Linked DNA regions of Notamacropus eugenii. The protein of the gene in region 2 interacts with the protein of the main gene of each other region in a pairwise test. Links are inferred from orthologs where the notes say so. Each region holds a gene or a part of one and is shown on either strand. Other genes may lie near its edges.

Region 1 (7,843 bases), on a different chromosome or scaffold from region 2:
TCAGCCTGCAGTGTAAGTGAAAATCAGACTTCTGGGTTCTGTAGGGGACTTGAGGTGCTCTTGGACAGAGAAGAAAGAGTTGGTTGGGGGAAAGGATGCTGGGCAGGTCCTTCTTTACTCTGACTTCGATCCCCTCCCATCTCTTAGATCCTCCTGTGGTGACTCTGTCTTCAGAGCCACAGACAGTGCCAGAGGGTGGGAAGGTCACGTTTCTGTGCAGAGCAACCGCCCATCCCCCAGTCACTGGCTACAGGTGAGCCCCTCTAAATACTCTTGGCCTGCAAATGATGAGACTCTGCCAGGACCCCATAGCACCGGCCCCATACTTGAGACCCTCTGCAATATTGATCCTTCCCATCTCCCAGGTGGGCAAAAGGGGGATCTGTGCTTCCTGGAGCTCGGGGGCCCCTTCTGGAGGCGAAAGCTGATGCTTCCTTCCTGACTGAACCTGTGTCCTGTGAGGTGACCAATGCCGTGGGCAGTACCAATCGGAGCACGGCATTGGATGTGCAATGTGAGTACAGTGGGCAAGACTTCAGCTTCTGAAGAGGCAGCGGCTGGGGAGGGTTTCTGCAGTGGGTGAAGGGTCTTATTTTCCAGGGTTCCTGCAGAAGTCTCAGTGCCTCAGTCCCTCAGGGCTGAGAGGAACTTCTTATGCCTTGGTATCTAAGGGACTAGGAGGAGGGCACTCACAATGCCTGGGAGGGCTTGATTAGGAGGTCTGAGTTCTGAGTCAGGAGACAATCTCATAGACAACCTCCCTTTCATCTTCAGTCGGTCCTCTCCTCCTCTCCCCACCTGAACCAGTGGCTGTAGATGCGGGAGAAGACGCCTCTTTCACCTGCACCTGGAAGGGAAACCCGCCCCCACGAGTGACATGGACGCGCAGTGGGGGGACCAAGGTGAGGGATAGAGCTCTGGGGGCAGAGGCTCTGGGTTTAACTCATCTTCTCCTTCCCATCTCCCCTAATGACTTTTCCCCATGGGTCCCCAGATCCTGGGCTCGGGGCCTACATTGCGTCTGGTGTCCGTGGGGCCGGGGGACGCTGGAAATTACGAGTGTCGAGCAGAGCCAGGACCCTCAGGAATGGGGGGCGGCCTGGGGGAGGCAACCCTGACTGTGCATGGTGAGCAGAGGTTTGGGGGACAGGACGAAAGGGAAGGGATGGGCAAGGGACGAGGTTGTCTCTGATTGGATCTTGAATCATCCCAGGCCCCCCAGCAGTGACTGCCCTGCCTTCGCCCCCCGCTGCTGTGGGAGCCCCTGCCCGGCTAGAGTGTGTAGTTCTCGCATCTCCAGCACCCGAAGCAGTGGTAAGGTTCACTGATCTATCCCTTTCCCCTTCCCGAGGCTTCTGCCCCTGCCTCCGTTCCCTCCCCGGCCTCCACTGCCTCTCCACCGCCGAACCTTTCTCTGTTCTCTTCTCCCCCCGCCCCCAGGTCTGGTCCTGGGGCGAGGGCGCACTCGCCTCGGGATCCCGAGGCCGCTTCCTAGTAGAGACATTCCCCGCCCCAGGGGCCCCGGGGAGTGGGCGCCGGGGATTGGTGTCGGTGCTGCACATCTCCGGGACTCGGGAACTGGACTTCGCCCGAGACTTCAACTGCAGCGCTCGCAACCGTCTGGGCGAGGCGGCAGCCCGGGCTGGCCTGACCCGCACTGGTGAGCCCAAAGTCCCCAGAGAAGCACAGGAGGGGATCTGACCTCCCAAACCCGTGTAGATCTCCAAACCTAAGGCACCCAGTCTGAGGCCCCCAATGGGGCTCCGGAGCACCCACATTCCCCGGGTACCCCTCCCTTTGCGGACCCAACCTCGACGAGACTCCTTTCGGCCCCTAAAACTCCCCAACTTGACCTAGGATCCGGGCCCCGGGCTCGCCAAACTTTTCCTTAACCCTGTGACGCCTGTGTCCCCTCCCAGACCCACTGCCCCTGGTGCGGATCGTGGTAACTGCAGCTGCGACTGCCTTACTATTACTACTGCTCATCGCAGGGGGCACCCACTGCTGCTGGCGCCGAGGCCGAGGTCAGTGTGGTCACAGCTGCCCTTCGAGGTCCACCCCCCCCCCCCCAGCCTGGTCCCTATCTCAGTGTGCCCCTCCCCAGTCCCTCTTCGTTCAGTTTTCTCGGCTTCTGGGGTGCCGCCCTCCAGCTCCGCCTTCTCCTCCACCCTCAGGCTCCAGAGCAAGGATCTCCAAGCGAGACATACTGGTGCAAATCACTGATAGCGATGGTTCCAGCCCTCGAGTCCCCGAGGAAGAGGAGGAGGGGATCCGAGAAGACCAGGTATGGACCTCTGGAGGCCACCTCGCGCGGAGCGCCCCCAACTGCCAGAAGACCCTGCGAGGAGCCGACTGCTGCCGAAACCCTAGTGGGAAGTGGGTCCTGGGCGGTGGCTCCCAGGGGTGGAGGGTGGCTTCCCCCTGGACTCTCAGTGACCGGCACGACCTCCCCCGCTCAGGTCCTCAGCAGCGAGTCCACCGGTACCTCGCACTCAAAGCAGAGCGACTTCGTTGGGGCTGAGGAGGCGGGGCCTGAGGCCAAGGTGGGCGGAGTAGGGCAAGGGCTACGCCTGGAGCCCCCTCCCATCTCTGTCTTTGTATCTATTTATGACTTCTCTCCTCATCTGTTTCTGGGTGCCCAGTCACCTCCCTGCTTTCTCTTTCCATCTCTTCCTCAGTCTTTGCCTGGGCTCACCGTACCTCGTATTCAATTGTCCTGGCATGCCCATTGGTCCGTTCGAACTCTTGTCTTTCCCTTCACTGGCACATCATTGCTGATGTCTGTATGTTTTCTTGTTCCCCGCTCCCCCCAATATCTCTCCCCCCACCATAAGCCTTTTCACCATTGTTCAGGGACCTCCTAGTGGTGTCTCCTCTCCATCTGTGTCTCCTTGTTTATCAGCCTCCACTCTACTTCTCTGTGGTGTCTCCTTGTCTCCTTCAAACCTGTTTCTGGTGCTTCTTGTATTTCTCTTTGACCTTGCCCATAAGTGCCCTCCCATCTTTCTGCCCCTGTTACACTCTGTATCTATTTCTTCTTATGTCTCTGTTGGCCCCTTTTCTTGCTCTCTGTTGATTCCCCTCCCCCTCCCCCCATCCTTTATCTTTCTGTTTTTCCTTATCTCCATCAGTCTCATTTTTATCTTTTTTTAATCTCCTCCCAGGATCCCACTAACGGCTACTATAAAGTTCGAGGTGTGAGTGTGAACCAGGACCCTGGAGCTGCCCTCTTCTTCTCTCCAGCATCTCCTGTCTTCCCTGGCAGCCCTTCTGGGTTCTGTGACCTTACCCCTCATCTGCCTGTATTCCCCCCAGACCGAGGTGGTCTCTACAGCCCCCGGGATGGTTACCTCACCACTCCATATACCCGTGCTTTCACCAGCTATGTCAAATCCACACCCTATAGGACCCCTGACCCAGCTCCTGGGCCCCCTTCCTTTTCCTACACTGTCCCTGTTCCTGGCCATCAGCGCCTTCAGACCCATGTGTGACCTGTCTCTCAGACTGATAGCTGGTCATCCACTCCAGCCCATGGGAGGCCTCTGTAAAGTCTCCAGTCCTTTCTTGTGTGATGAAGAACTGATCCAGTCATTGGGCAACCAAGAAGATTTCCCCCTCAAGATAGTAACCCAAGTCTGGGAATGGGGGGAGGGGGGAGGAGGAGCAAGACTTTGATGGACAGCTGACCCAGCAAATGGAAAAGGCCAAAGTGTAAACATGCCTACCAGTTCACTCTAGTCAAGAGAACTCCAAGTGGCAGATGGACTAGTATGGGCTCCCTGGAAAGGGGAAGTACATAGGGTAGGGGCAAGGCTGGAATCAAGGGCACACAGATGTATTGATGACTCCAACCAATAGATGGGGGAAAAGTCATTCCTGGCCCAGGAAGCAGGTTCTTGATTACTTGGCAAAATGTTCAATCTCATGGAAACTGTGTCAAGATGGCTTCTGACACCAGGAACCCAAGATGGTGGACTCAAGGTGGCCACCCCATCCTTCTGCAGGGAAGGAGGGAATCTGGGGCACATTTCTTAGGATGACCCCATTGCTAAGGCAAATATGAATTTGGAAACATGGGATGTATGTTGGGATTTGAATATGTTTAATTAAAAAAATGGAAAAATGTATGTGTAAGAAATCTTTTACCATCCAGCAACCAGTCCAGGGTAAGTCATGAAAGTCAAAGACTAGTTCTGATGGCTCCTGGCTACAGGTGTCAGGGTCCCAGTCCACCTCTTCCCCTCTCAGACCCAGGCATCCAGGTTCCCAACCCATTCGGTGCCCCACCCTCCATTTCAGTCACAGGTTCTGGGGTCTGCAGAGCAAGAGTTGGGGGGGGGGGGGGCTGGGGGTTCTAGCCATTTGGGTCCCCTACCTCTCCCAAAGCCAGACTTTGTTCACAGGTTTATATAACTCTTCAGCCCCAGTTCTTGTGAACCTTCCAGGTCCAAGGGAAAAATAGTTGAAATAGTCCCAATGTGTAAACCTTCCCTTATTTTTCCACCGTAAGCTACCGAGGCAGCCCAAGGTGGGGTGGGGAGTGGAGATGCCGTAATGTTGAGGTTTCGACACTCCCTCGTATCTAGGACGTGAGGCTGAACGTGTAGGCGAGATGCCCAGGGCTTGGAGGGGGTGACCACCCCTGAAGGTCAAGGGGCTGGGAACATTACAGTTTAGATCGCCCAGGCATGGCGAGGTCCCCAAAAGATCTAGGAGGAGATTTAGAGCCCAGAGCGAGCAGCGCAGCAGGGCAAACACTCTCACCCGCGCTATTGTCCCAGCCGGGGAGGCGGGGCCGGGGCGGGGTTGGCGGCGCCGGCGCAGCCCGGGGCTGGAGGGGGTGGGCAGCAGCAGGAAGCGGCGGCGGCGGTGCTGGGAGCTCCTGTCACCGGCGGGCCCAGGGCGGGGAAACCCGGGGGAGGGGGCTGGCGGAGTGAAAGGAGGGCGACCAACCAAGGACTGGGGGAAGGGTAGGGCGAGTTCGGCTGAGCCCAAGAAGGAGATCGCGGGCCCAGAGGTCGCTGCAGGGCCGGGCAGGGGAGACAGAGAAGGGGGCTCGGGCCCCAGCCCCGGCCCGGACATGGGGTCAGCGAACCCCGCGGCCCGTGGGCTCGGGAGCCGCCTCGGTTCTCTGCTGCTGCTGCTGCTGCTGCTGCTGCTTCCAGCGCCCGGGAGCTCATCCAGGGGGACGCCTAGCCCTGGGGAGGTGAGACTCACGCCCCCGGCCGCAGGGTGAGGTGGGGGACCCAGATGCCCAGAACCCCTAGCCCTCCACATCCCACCCCACCCCGATTCTGGCTGTGCAGTTCCCAGAACCTACGGCTAAAATGGAGGGGGGGGGAGGGCCTGGACTCCTTGGTCTGGGAGGGGATGGGCGGGTTGGGACCCTGACACCTGCGGCCCTCAGACAGCGGGACCCTGGTCTTTAAGAGGAGAGGATTGGGGAGGATTAAAAACGCATGAATGCCTGATGGGGGCAATGGTTTTAGGATCAGGAGGTTTAGGCCCTTGAGTGGGGTAGGGGCTGGAGGCCTAGACTCCTGGGTCCTTAAATCGTGGCCCAGGGGACCCAAACACCGGGGTCACAGCGTGAGGGAGAGAACAAGACCGGAGAAAGACCCATGTCTACGCCGTCCTCACCTCCACGGGCCAGAGAGGATGGGGGTGCGGTAGTGGGAAGGAGGGTCTGTCTCCGCGGTAACCAGCTGGTGATGCCAGGCGATTCACCTGGGACCCAGTCTCCATGGCGACCCCCCCATCCCCTCCGGTGCAGTTGCCTTGGCAACACCATCTGCACCGCAGCGGGGGCTGGGGCCTGGATCCCTGAGAGGGGACTAGAGGTGGGGTCCGCATGCCTGAGTCCTCGAGGGGGGCGTGGTCTGGGGTCCGGATGCCTGGTATCTCTGATGTCGGGGTCGGGACTCCTGGGTCCCCGACTGGGGCGGGGCCGTGGGCTGGAGTCCCCGTCCCAGACGCTCGGTTCTTCGCTCTCTTTTCAGATCGCGGGGGTCCCTCAGGTGGCTGGGCACTGCGGCCGACTGACCCTACACAGAGACCTGCGCACAGGCCGCTGGGAACCTGACCCTCAGGGCTCACGCCGCTGCCTGCGAGACCCGCAGCACGTGTTGGCCTATTGCAGACAGGTGGGCGGGGCCTGAGGGGGCCGGGCCGACCGGGGGTCTGAAGTAAAGGGGTTGAGAATGGCCCGGGCATCGGTGGGAGGGGACTTTTGGGGGTGGATACTCTGCGGGGACGTGGGAGCTGAGCCGAGCTCTGGGAATTCAGGAAAAGCACCTGGAAGGGGAATTGAGTGAGAGTGAGGAGAACCGTGAGACTCCTCCATGGAGCCCCCATCCCATTCTCCCACCCCCAGGTGTACCCCGACCTCCAGATCGGCCGCGTGGAGGAGGCCTCGAGACCCATTCCTATGGAGCATTGGTGTGGGAGTGCCCGCGGAACCAGATGTCCCCACCACGTGGTGATTCCTTATCACTGCCTGCGTGAGTGAAAGGGATACTGGCTCCAGGTGTGACCCAGAATGCGGGGGCCCAGATATCTAGGGAGTAGGTTTGGGGCAAAACACCTGGATCCCTGAGGTGGGGGTCTGGACAGGATGGGGATTATTTGGAGGGGAGAGGGGAAATCGGGAAGGCTCATTTTTCTTCTTCCATACCCCTACAGCAGGTGAGTTTGTGAGTGAGGCCCTGTTGGTTCCTGAGGGATGCAAGTTCCTGCATCAGGAGAGGATGGATGAGTGTGAAGGCTCAGCCTACAGGCACCACCAGGCCCAAGAGGTGAGGTCTAGATTCAGACATGTTGACTCTAAAGAATTTTCAGAGACTCCAGTATTCATGCTTCTACCCCCCTCCCATCTCCATCAGGATCCCATGTCTACTTTTCCATCTCTCCAACCCCTTCAGACTTGAGTGTCCAACCTCCCATCCCCCTCATTCCAGTTCACTCAGTAATCTATCTGTTCTCCCTTTCCACCCACCCCACATTCCCTGTCTTCCCCACTACCCAAGGGCCTCTATCACTTCCTTCTCAGGCTTGCCGCTCTGAGGGCCTCATTCTTCATGGCTCAGGGATGCTCCTCCCATGTGGAACTGATAGATTTCGAGGTGTGGAATATGTCTGCTGCCCTACTACAGGCACCTCCATACCTCCCCAGATGCCCCATAGGTGAGGTCCTGGGTCTCCATGAAGGTGAGGTCTAGTCTGCCATGTGTGTTAAAGTTGGAATCATCTCATAACCCTGGTCCCCTAGATCTTCTGTAATAACCCTAATATCCTAGAGATTCTCACTAACACTAGAGACTCCTCCCCTAGTTATGCCCTGGAATACCCAATAACCCTGTAGACACCCCAATAAAATTTCAAGATAACTTCAAACTCCCAAATGACACTGTTCCCCCCAGAGGGTTGGGAGACTGGGAGCCTGAATGTACCCCTGAAAGTTGGGAATGAGGTTCTGGATACTTAGATGCTTGTAGGTCACGCAGCCAGATGTGAGGGTTTTGTCCTCTTTGCAGTGATGCTCCCACCCAGCCCCAGTCCCCAGGGGGAGAGGAGGAAGAGGAAGACGAGTCATTTCCCCAAACAGTGGATGACTATTTTGTGGAGCCCCCAGGGGAGGATGAGGAAAAAGAGGAGGGTGAGGCCAGAAGACTCCAGCACCCCAGCACCCAACCACCTTCCAGGACCAACAAAGGTGAGACTCACCCCCAGAACCTGGGAGTCCAGATGCCCAGAGTCTGAGCCAGGCTCCTTTACCAAGGCTGGCACAAAGTAGCCCTCGAGAGGAAGGAGAGGTCTCCTTCTCCCAGCTGCACCACCCACAAAA
Region 2 (7,234 bases):
CTAAAAGACTTGTTCATGACGGTAGAGCTGGTTAAGAGCTAGGATTGGAACCTGAGTCTCCTAACTTTAAATCTTAAGCTATTTCTATTCCATCATGCAAACATGGGTTCATTTCCTATTTGATGTATTCCTTATTAGTCAAAATAATATAATTCAGTTCTGTTCATTGCAAAAGCAGTCTTTTTTTTTGTTGCATAGTCTCAACTCAAGTATTTTAAAAATTGCTTTCTTTCCCTGTTTTAGAAATACAAGTCCTTTCTAAAGACAAGAAACTATCATTTATTGTAGTATTTTCCATATGAAACACTCAAAATAGTATTCAAATGATAACTTTTCCTTAGAATATTCAGGTGTAATGCAGGATTGTTGTAGCAACAAGTTCTCAAACACTTTGGCATGAATATTGCTAATGAATATATGTTCTCAATATATATTATTGGAACAAAGTAGTAACTTTTTGTTGGATAAATGGATATCCTTGCAGACATTCTAGGTGCAAAAAAAATATCTATTTGGCTCTTAGCATATGTATATACAATTAGTTAAATATTATACAATGTCTTATTTTCTTTGTCAAAGTGGACCCACACTTTATGACACCCAGGAAATTTTGTTCCTTGAGTAGTCTTGTGATAAGACAAAAACTACAGCTACAATTGATCATAAAGGCAGTATAGAAAGAGCATGAACTGGGGAGACACAAGACCTGGAGAGTCACGTGATATTAGATGAAGTCATATGATTCCCTTCTCGGTTTCCCTTTCTTCATCTATAAAATAATGGTAACAATTACTCTACCTGGTCTAATAAAGATTAATCTTTTATATGATAGAAAGGTGATTCAATAGCTATTGTGTACCAAGCTCTGGAACTAGAAAGACTTCTAACATAAACAGTCCTTTAAAAGGCATAACCAAAAAAAAAAAAAAAGACTCCCAATGTTTAGATTCAATAATGTGTTCTAATTTTTTGATTACATTAAATACTTTGATATACGACTAGAAATTAAAGCTACAGAACAAATTTAGACACTCGTGATAAAAACAGTGAAATTTTAACATTTTCCTAGGGAAACAACTTTTAACATAAAAACATGGACATATTTGCAAAAAAAAGCTTAGGTATGTGTTGAGAGGTTAAGTTCAAGATTTAAGCATTTTGTTTTCTGGTTGTTCCTTTCCTTTTTAAGGGTTATTATTCATAGACACTATAATGACAGCTGGAAAACATAGGGTATTTGTATTTTTGAGGCTGTAGATCTTTTTGCTTAAGTCCTGAGACCTTGAGTTCTGGGACCCCTGGCTTAGAGACCATATTTTAACAAGAATTTAACAAGAACAAGAACCGACTGAATCAGAATCACAGCAATGCAAAATTGAAAGTGTCCTCAGAAGTCATTCATTCCTATCCATAACTAAATGTTATATATAACACCATATAAGTGGTCATGAAACCTTGCATTTAGATTCAGCCTACCTACTTATATGCTACTCTACTTTTTGGAAAGCTCTGTTTGCTTCATAGAACCCAAGACTTCCATGCAGTGAAGTTTGAAAACCAATTTTTAAAGAAATGGCACTTGTAATATCCTCCCACTTTTTACTAGTATATTTGTTTATTAGTGTTTTATTAGTGTCAGAGGAGTAGATGCTCTCTCTTGGATACTTAAATAGCTCTTTTCCACTATGAACTTTGGGTTACAATTTAATTTAGTCTTATATGACCTTTTTTGTCTTAGACCAAATATTAGGACGATGTTAAGAGGGCCCCAGGTGATGTGAAACTGTTCTGTTTTGAATAACATATAAAACAGCTCTAAATCATGTTTTGTGACTGCAAGAATATTTTCTCTCAAGCCCTGGAGAAACTGTATTTGGCCTATCTGCATTCCACAAGGAGTTTCCATCAGTTAAGATAGTTTCCATTTCCCATTTGAAAACTGTTGAAAAAACATGATGGAAATTTGCATTTCAAAAATTGATAGCAAGGCCATTAACTAAGAGTATCATTTGCAAAGGCTTTGAGGGAAAAAAAAAAGGATGAGCTTTTTTTTTTTTAAGTAAAAATACACCCAGAGACATGGATAGTGAATACAAAAATACAATCTTTGTTCATGTGATATTTCCATTTGGTCAGCCCTTCAAGCTATGGGGTGGGGCAGAAAGAATCAGAAAAAAATAGGCTGACAAAGATCAGTCCAAAGTCAGGAATAAGCACCTCAAAAGACAACTGAGCTCATGGGGCGGTGCATTTCAACTTACACTTCGAAAATGCAGCTCCTGCAAAGGAGTTACATTGTTACCTCGTATGAAACTGAACGGAGGTCTAGAAAGCTTAACTGTTCTACCCGGATGTCTCGGTCCTAAGTCTACCTTCCACGTTCTTCGGGCTCCCACCGCCCCTCCACATGCTTTTAGCCTCAGTTACTAAACAAATATCTCCTCTCAGAGGTCACCCAGTCCTGCCCTTTCTGGGCCAGGGAAGGGAGAGGACCGGCTCTAAAACGAGGAAGTCTGGGGAGGCAGGCTTTGGTTTGGGTCCCTGACATTCCCACCTGGGCTGGGGCTTTCTGGGAAGCTGCTTCGTTTCCAAATGCCCAGACCACCGAGGCAAGGGCTTCCCAGACGGGCGAAATCTGGGATTTTTCTGACGAGACCCTCAGTCATTCCTCAAGGCATCCCTCACGTGTTCTCGTCTACACTGGGGTTCTTAACGTGGGCAGGAAGCGCTTCCTGGCCCCGCTGCCCTCCTCCTGTCCGGTGGGATCGCTCGATCCTAGGACACCTCTGAATTCGTCTGGTAACCGCGGGAGGGTTTGCTGGTCTGACGCTGAGGAGAGCGGCCAACCTAACCGCACTGAATGTGGGTAACAGGGTTAAGTTACAGTTAAGTGTGGAGTTACAGTGTAACGCCCGTTGTAGAGACCAGACGAGTAACAGTCCTCATCGCGGTCGTCCTGGCCCCGCACTGCAGGAGACGGGGCTCCACCTGCGGAGGTGTCGATGCGCCTCCCTCCGCACGCTGCCCGCCCGCAGAAGGGACCGCATGGCAGCTGCGCTCTGGCCCACACAAAGGGGACCCCTTGGCGGGAGCTCGGGGGCCAGGTGTCGCCCGTCACGCCAGGGGCGTGAAGGAGGATCCGAGTGCGCGCGCGCGCGTGTGTGCGTAGAGGGGGGGCCATGCAGGCGTGGGCATCCTCCACACGGGGAAGGTGGCAGAGGAGGGAGAAAAGCCTGACTCATGTGGTGGCTTGGGGACTCCTGGGAAGCAGAACTCGTGATGCGCCCGCTGCGCCGCGCTGCAGAGAAGAACCCCATTCTGCCACGGGCCCGCTCCAGGCACATGGCCCGGCGGCCCGCCCCGCCCCGCCCCTCCCCTCCCCCCTGCACTGCAGAGGGCCCCCCTCCCCCCTCGCCGGGGCGCGTGCACGCGCACACACGCCCCAAGCGCGAAGGGAGCGAGGACACACCTCGGCCGCTCGCGCCCGCGCCCCCCTCTCACTTCATGCCCCACCCCACCCCATACTGGCAGCATCACGCTGTCCGCCCCGGATTCGCTCCCCGATCTCCAAGTCCCCGCCCCCACCGCGCCGGCGCCTGGGCATCCGACTCTGGCCTTCGGTAGTTTCCGTCAAGAGCACCCGAGCTCGGCTGCCGCCTCGGCGGGTCTTCGAGTCCCCGAACACCGTCTCTCCTCTACCCTCCCCGCCCCCTCCCGCCTCGTCCGGCCCCGCCCCTTCTCCTCGCCAGGCGAGGCTTTATGTCTGCGGCGCCAGAGCGCCTGCGCAGACGCCATCTTCCTCGGCCCCCTCCCCCGGCCGCCGCTGCCTCCTCCTCCTCCTCCTCTTCTTACCGCCGGACGCTCCTCCTCCTCCTGCGCCCGGGCTCGGGAGCCCGTCCCTCCTCTTCCAATGCCGTGAGAGACAGTGGGGAAGACGGCGTAGCCGGGGCAGCCTAAGGAGAGCTCTCGTAACCAGCCCCCCCCCAGCCGCCCCCTCCCCAACCCCCGGGCGCACCCGACACCCTGCCCCCATCCCGCTCCCTGCCCCTCCCCTGGCCGCCCCCACCTCCTGCTCCATTCAGCGGCGCCCGTCCGTCCGTGGGTAGTCCCGGCCCGGCGAAGCCGCCGCCGCGGAGAGAAGCCTCACGCCCCCTGGCTGCTGCCTGCCTGCCCGCCCGCCTCCTCCCCGAGGGCCGAGGACCGGAGCCGCCGGGCTGCTGGCCCGGAGGGAGGAAGATGTTGGGGCTCCGCGGCTGCCAGTGATGGAGCGGTCCCTGCGCTCCCCCCGCCCCCGCCCGCCCGGCCGCCGCTGCTCCTGCCGCCGCCGCCGCCGCCCCCCGGCTGGGTGCGAGGATCGTACGTATCTCTCCCTCCCCCCTTACCGGCCTCCCCCCAGCTGCAGCCGCCGCCGCCCCCTCGGCCCTCCCCGGCCGGCCCAGCGGCCCCGGCTCCGCTGGGTTCCCGGCTGAGCCGCCGCGGCGGCGGCGCCCCCGGAGCAGCTTCCAGCCTAGCGGTGGGGGAGGGGGCGGGGGGAGGGGGAGGCACCGGGCTTTTAGCTGCTCCGGCCTGGCCTCCGGGCGTGCCTTTCCCGGGGCAGCCCTTTGGGGTTGGGGCGGGTGGAGGGGTGGCCGCCGCCGCGGCACCGCGGCGGGGGTGGCGGAGGGGGCGGGGGCGGCGGCGGGGGTAGGGGCGGCGGGGGCAGCGGTGGTTTCCAAGTTGGCCGGATAACGTGGGCATTTCTCTCTCTCCCCCCTCTCCTCTTCTTCAGTCTGCCTGCCTCCTTCCTCTACCTCCCCCCACCCCCTCCTCCCCTAGTGAAGCGGACTGTATAAAAGGGGGTGGAGAGGACCAGAAGGAAAAGTGAATGGCCGAGGACCGGTAGTGCCCCCCATTCTTGCCTTGTCCCCCCCGCCGTCCTCCGCCTGCTGAGCGCAGAAGGCCCCGGCGGCGCAGCGGGGACGGTGCCTCCGGCCCCTGCGCTGTGAACACAAAGCTCCCCGTGCGGTGCAGACACAATGCACCAGCCGCCCGAGGCCACGGCCGCCGCCGCCGCCGCCGCAGACCTCGGGGCTCGGAAGATGGCGCACCCGGCCGCCGCGGTCCCTCGGAGGGGCAGCAGCAGCGGCGGCGGCCCCGCGGGCCCCTCGGCCGAGGACTACGCGCCTCCCGCGCCGCTGCCCGGGGCGGCGGCCGCTGGGCCGGGGCCGGCGCCGCCGCCGCCCCCGCAGAGCCTGCACCTCCTCCCGCAGGCCCCGCAGCTCCCCGCCGCGCCCGGCGGGGCGCAGATGAAGAAGAAGAGCGGCTTCCAGATCACGAGCGTGACGCCGGCCCAGATCTCGGCCAGCATCAGCTCCAACAACAGCATCGCCGAGGACACGGAGAGCTACGACGACCTGGACGAGTCCCACACGGAGGACCTGTCCTCCTCCGAGATCCTGGACGTGTCCCTTTCCAGGGCCACTGACTTGGGGGAGCCGGAGCGGAGCTCCTCCGAGGAGACTTTGAATAACTTCCAGGAGGCCGAGACCCCTGGGGCGGTCTCTCCCAACCAGCCCCACCTTCCTCAGCACCATTTACCTCACCATCCACCCCAGAATGTCGTGATCAATGGCAGTGTTCATCCACACCATCTCCATCATCACCACCACCACCACGGGCACCACCTTCACCATGGGCACCACCATCCATCCCATGCTGGTGTCAGCACGGCTGTTCCTGGAGGGCCACCCCCAAGTCCGGTGTCTAGAAAACTCTCCACAGCTGGAAGTTCAGACAGTGTTTTACCAGCTGCACCACCTTCTGCTGTATCATCCACTGGCACACCTGCATCTCTAATGACTAATGTCCGCAATACGAATGCTCCTGGCAGTCTAGGTATAAATTCTGTTACGGGCACTAACACAATAAATAATGTTAACGTTACTGCAATGGGTAGTGTTAATCCTAACATGACGAACAGCATGCCTGGTAATGTTAACGTACCTTCCAGTAACGTCCCAAGTACTGCTAGTGTAAATGCTGTGCCCGGAGCTAGCACCAGTGTTAATGTGAATATCCTAAGTGGCATGGGCAATGGTACTAATTCTTCTGTTAACAATGTTCCTACCCCAGCTGCAGGAATGGCTGCGGGATCTGTTTCAGCTCAGCAGCAACAACCAGCGGCTGGCACATCAAGGTTTAGAGTTGTGAAATTAGATTCTAGTTCTGAACCCTTTAAAAAGGGGAGATGGACTTGCACAGAATTCTATGAAAAAGAAAATCCCATAGCAGTTACAGAAGGAGTAGCGGTAAACAAAGTGGTGGAGACTGTAAAACAAAACCCAGTTGAAGCGACCTCTGAAAGGGAGAGCACTAGTGGGAGTTCAGTTAGCAGTAATGTGAGCACATTGAGTCACTACACAGAGAGTGTGGGGAGTGGAGAGATGGGGGCCCCCGTTGTGGGCCAGCAGCAGCCAGCCCTCCCAGGTGTGGCCCCACAGCCCGTGGATTTCAGTAGTGGTCCTGGTGCACAGGGTGTATCAGCAACTAGTCTACCACAGAGTATTTCTCAGTCTCAGATTGCCCCGGTGCAGTTGCATTCTCAAGAGCTGACCTATGCTTCGCAAAAGCAGGGAAGTCAGCCTCCTCTGCAGGCCAGTAGAAGTGCTGCGGCTGGCATTCAGTCGCCCCCAGTGAATCTGGTTGGTGTAGCACCATCGTTAGGCCAACAGCCTCCCGTTTCCAGCTTGGCTCCGTCCCAGTCGTCCTATTCTCAGACCCCTTTGCCAGTTGTAGCACCGCCGCAGTTACAATACGGACAGCAGCAACAAACTGTGGCCACACAGGTGGCTCCGGGCCACATCCAGCCAGTAAATCAAAATCCCATCGCTGCAACTATGCCAGAGTATGTTCAGCATCAGCAAGTTCTCCAGACACCAGTGCCCCCTGTCCCACCAAATTCTGCAGGAGTGGCAGCAGCCTCAGCGATGCCTGTTGCTCATTCACAGAGCATTCAGCCTTCAGTGCAATCCACCACAGCCCAGGCACAGCCTGCAGGGGCTGTTGGACATGGCCAGCCAGCAATGCCTCCTGTAGCTGCTAGTGGTCAAGTTGTGAATGTTGGTCAGCAAGTGAACATCCCAGCTGTGCTGCAGCAGCCGGCCACCGTCACCCAGGTGACACCTCCGCCTTCTCAGCCTGGGATCATTCAGGGAATTCAAGCCAGTGCTTCAAACCTTCCTCCACAGCTGGTCGT

The links.
Region 1: the proteins of TSC22D1 (region 2) and APLP1 interact in a two-hybrid assay, tested with the Homo sapiens proteins (2 studies listed by BioGRID and IntAct). The link is inferred for Notamacropus eugenii from reciprocal best matches to the Homo sapiens genes TSC22D1 and APLP1.

Annotation. Positions count from the first base shown.
Region 1 is NC_092876.1:33,030,983-33,038,825, forward strand, and holds the start of APLP1 (amyloid beta precursor like protein 1), read left to right. Parts: upstream 1-4,842; 5' UTR 4,843-5,080; coding exon 5,081-5,206; intron 5,207-5,999; coding exon 6,000-6,143; intron 6,144-6,373; coding exon 6,374-6,500; intron 6,501-6,681; coding exon 6,682-6,794; intron 6,795-7,048; coding exon 7,049-7,182; intron 7,183-7,532; coding exon 7,533-7,711; intron 7,712-7,843. Other genes in the region: KIRREL2 (kin of IRRE-like protein 2), read left to right, coding at 1-12, 148-253, 366-514, 775-902, 995-1,127, 1,214-1,314, 1,441-1,660, 1,920-2,024 and 3 more. UniProt on the Homo sapiens protein: May play a role in postsynaptic function. The C-terminal gamma-secretase processed fragment, ALID1, activates transcription activation through APBB1 (Fe65) binding. Couples to JIP signal transduction through C-terminal binding.
Region 2 is NC_092877.1:295,069,307-295,076,540, reverse strand, and holds the start of TSC22D1 (TSC22 domain family protein 1), read left to right. Parts: upstream 1-4,229; 5' UTR 4,230-4,356; intron 4,357-4,768; 5' UTR 4,769-5,015; coding exon 5,016-7,234. UniProt on the Homo sapiens protein: Transcriptional repressor. Acts on the C-type natriuretic peptide (CNP) promoter. Acts to promote CASP3-mediated apoptosis.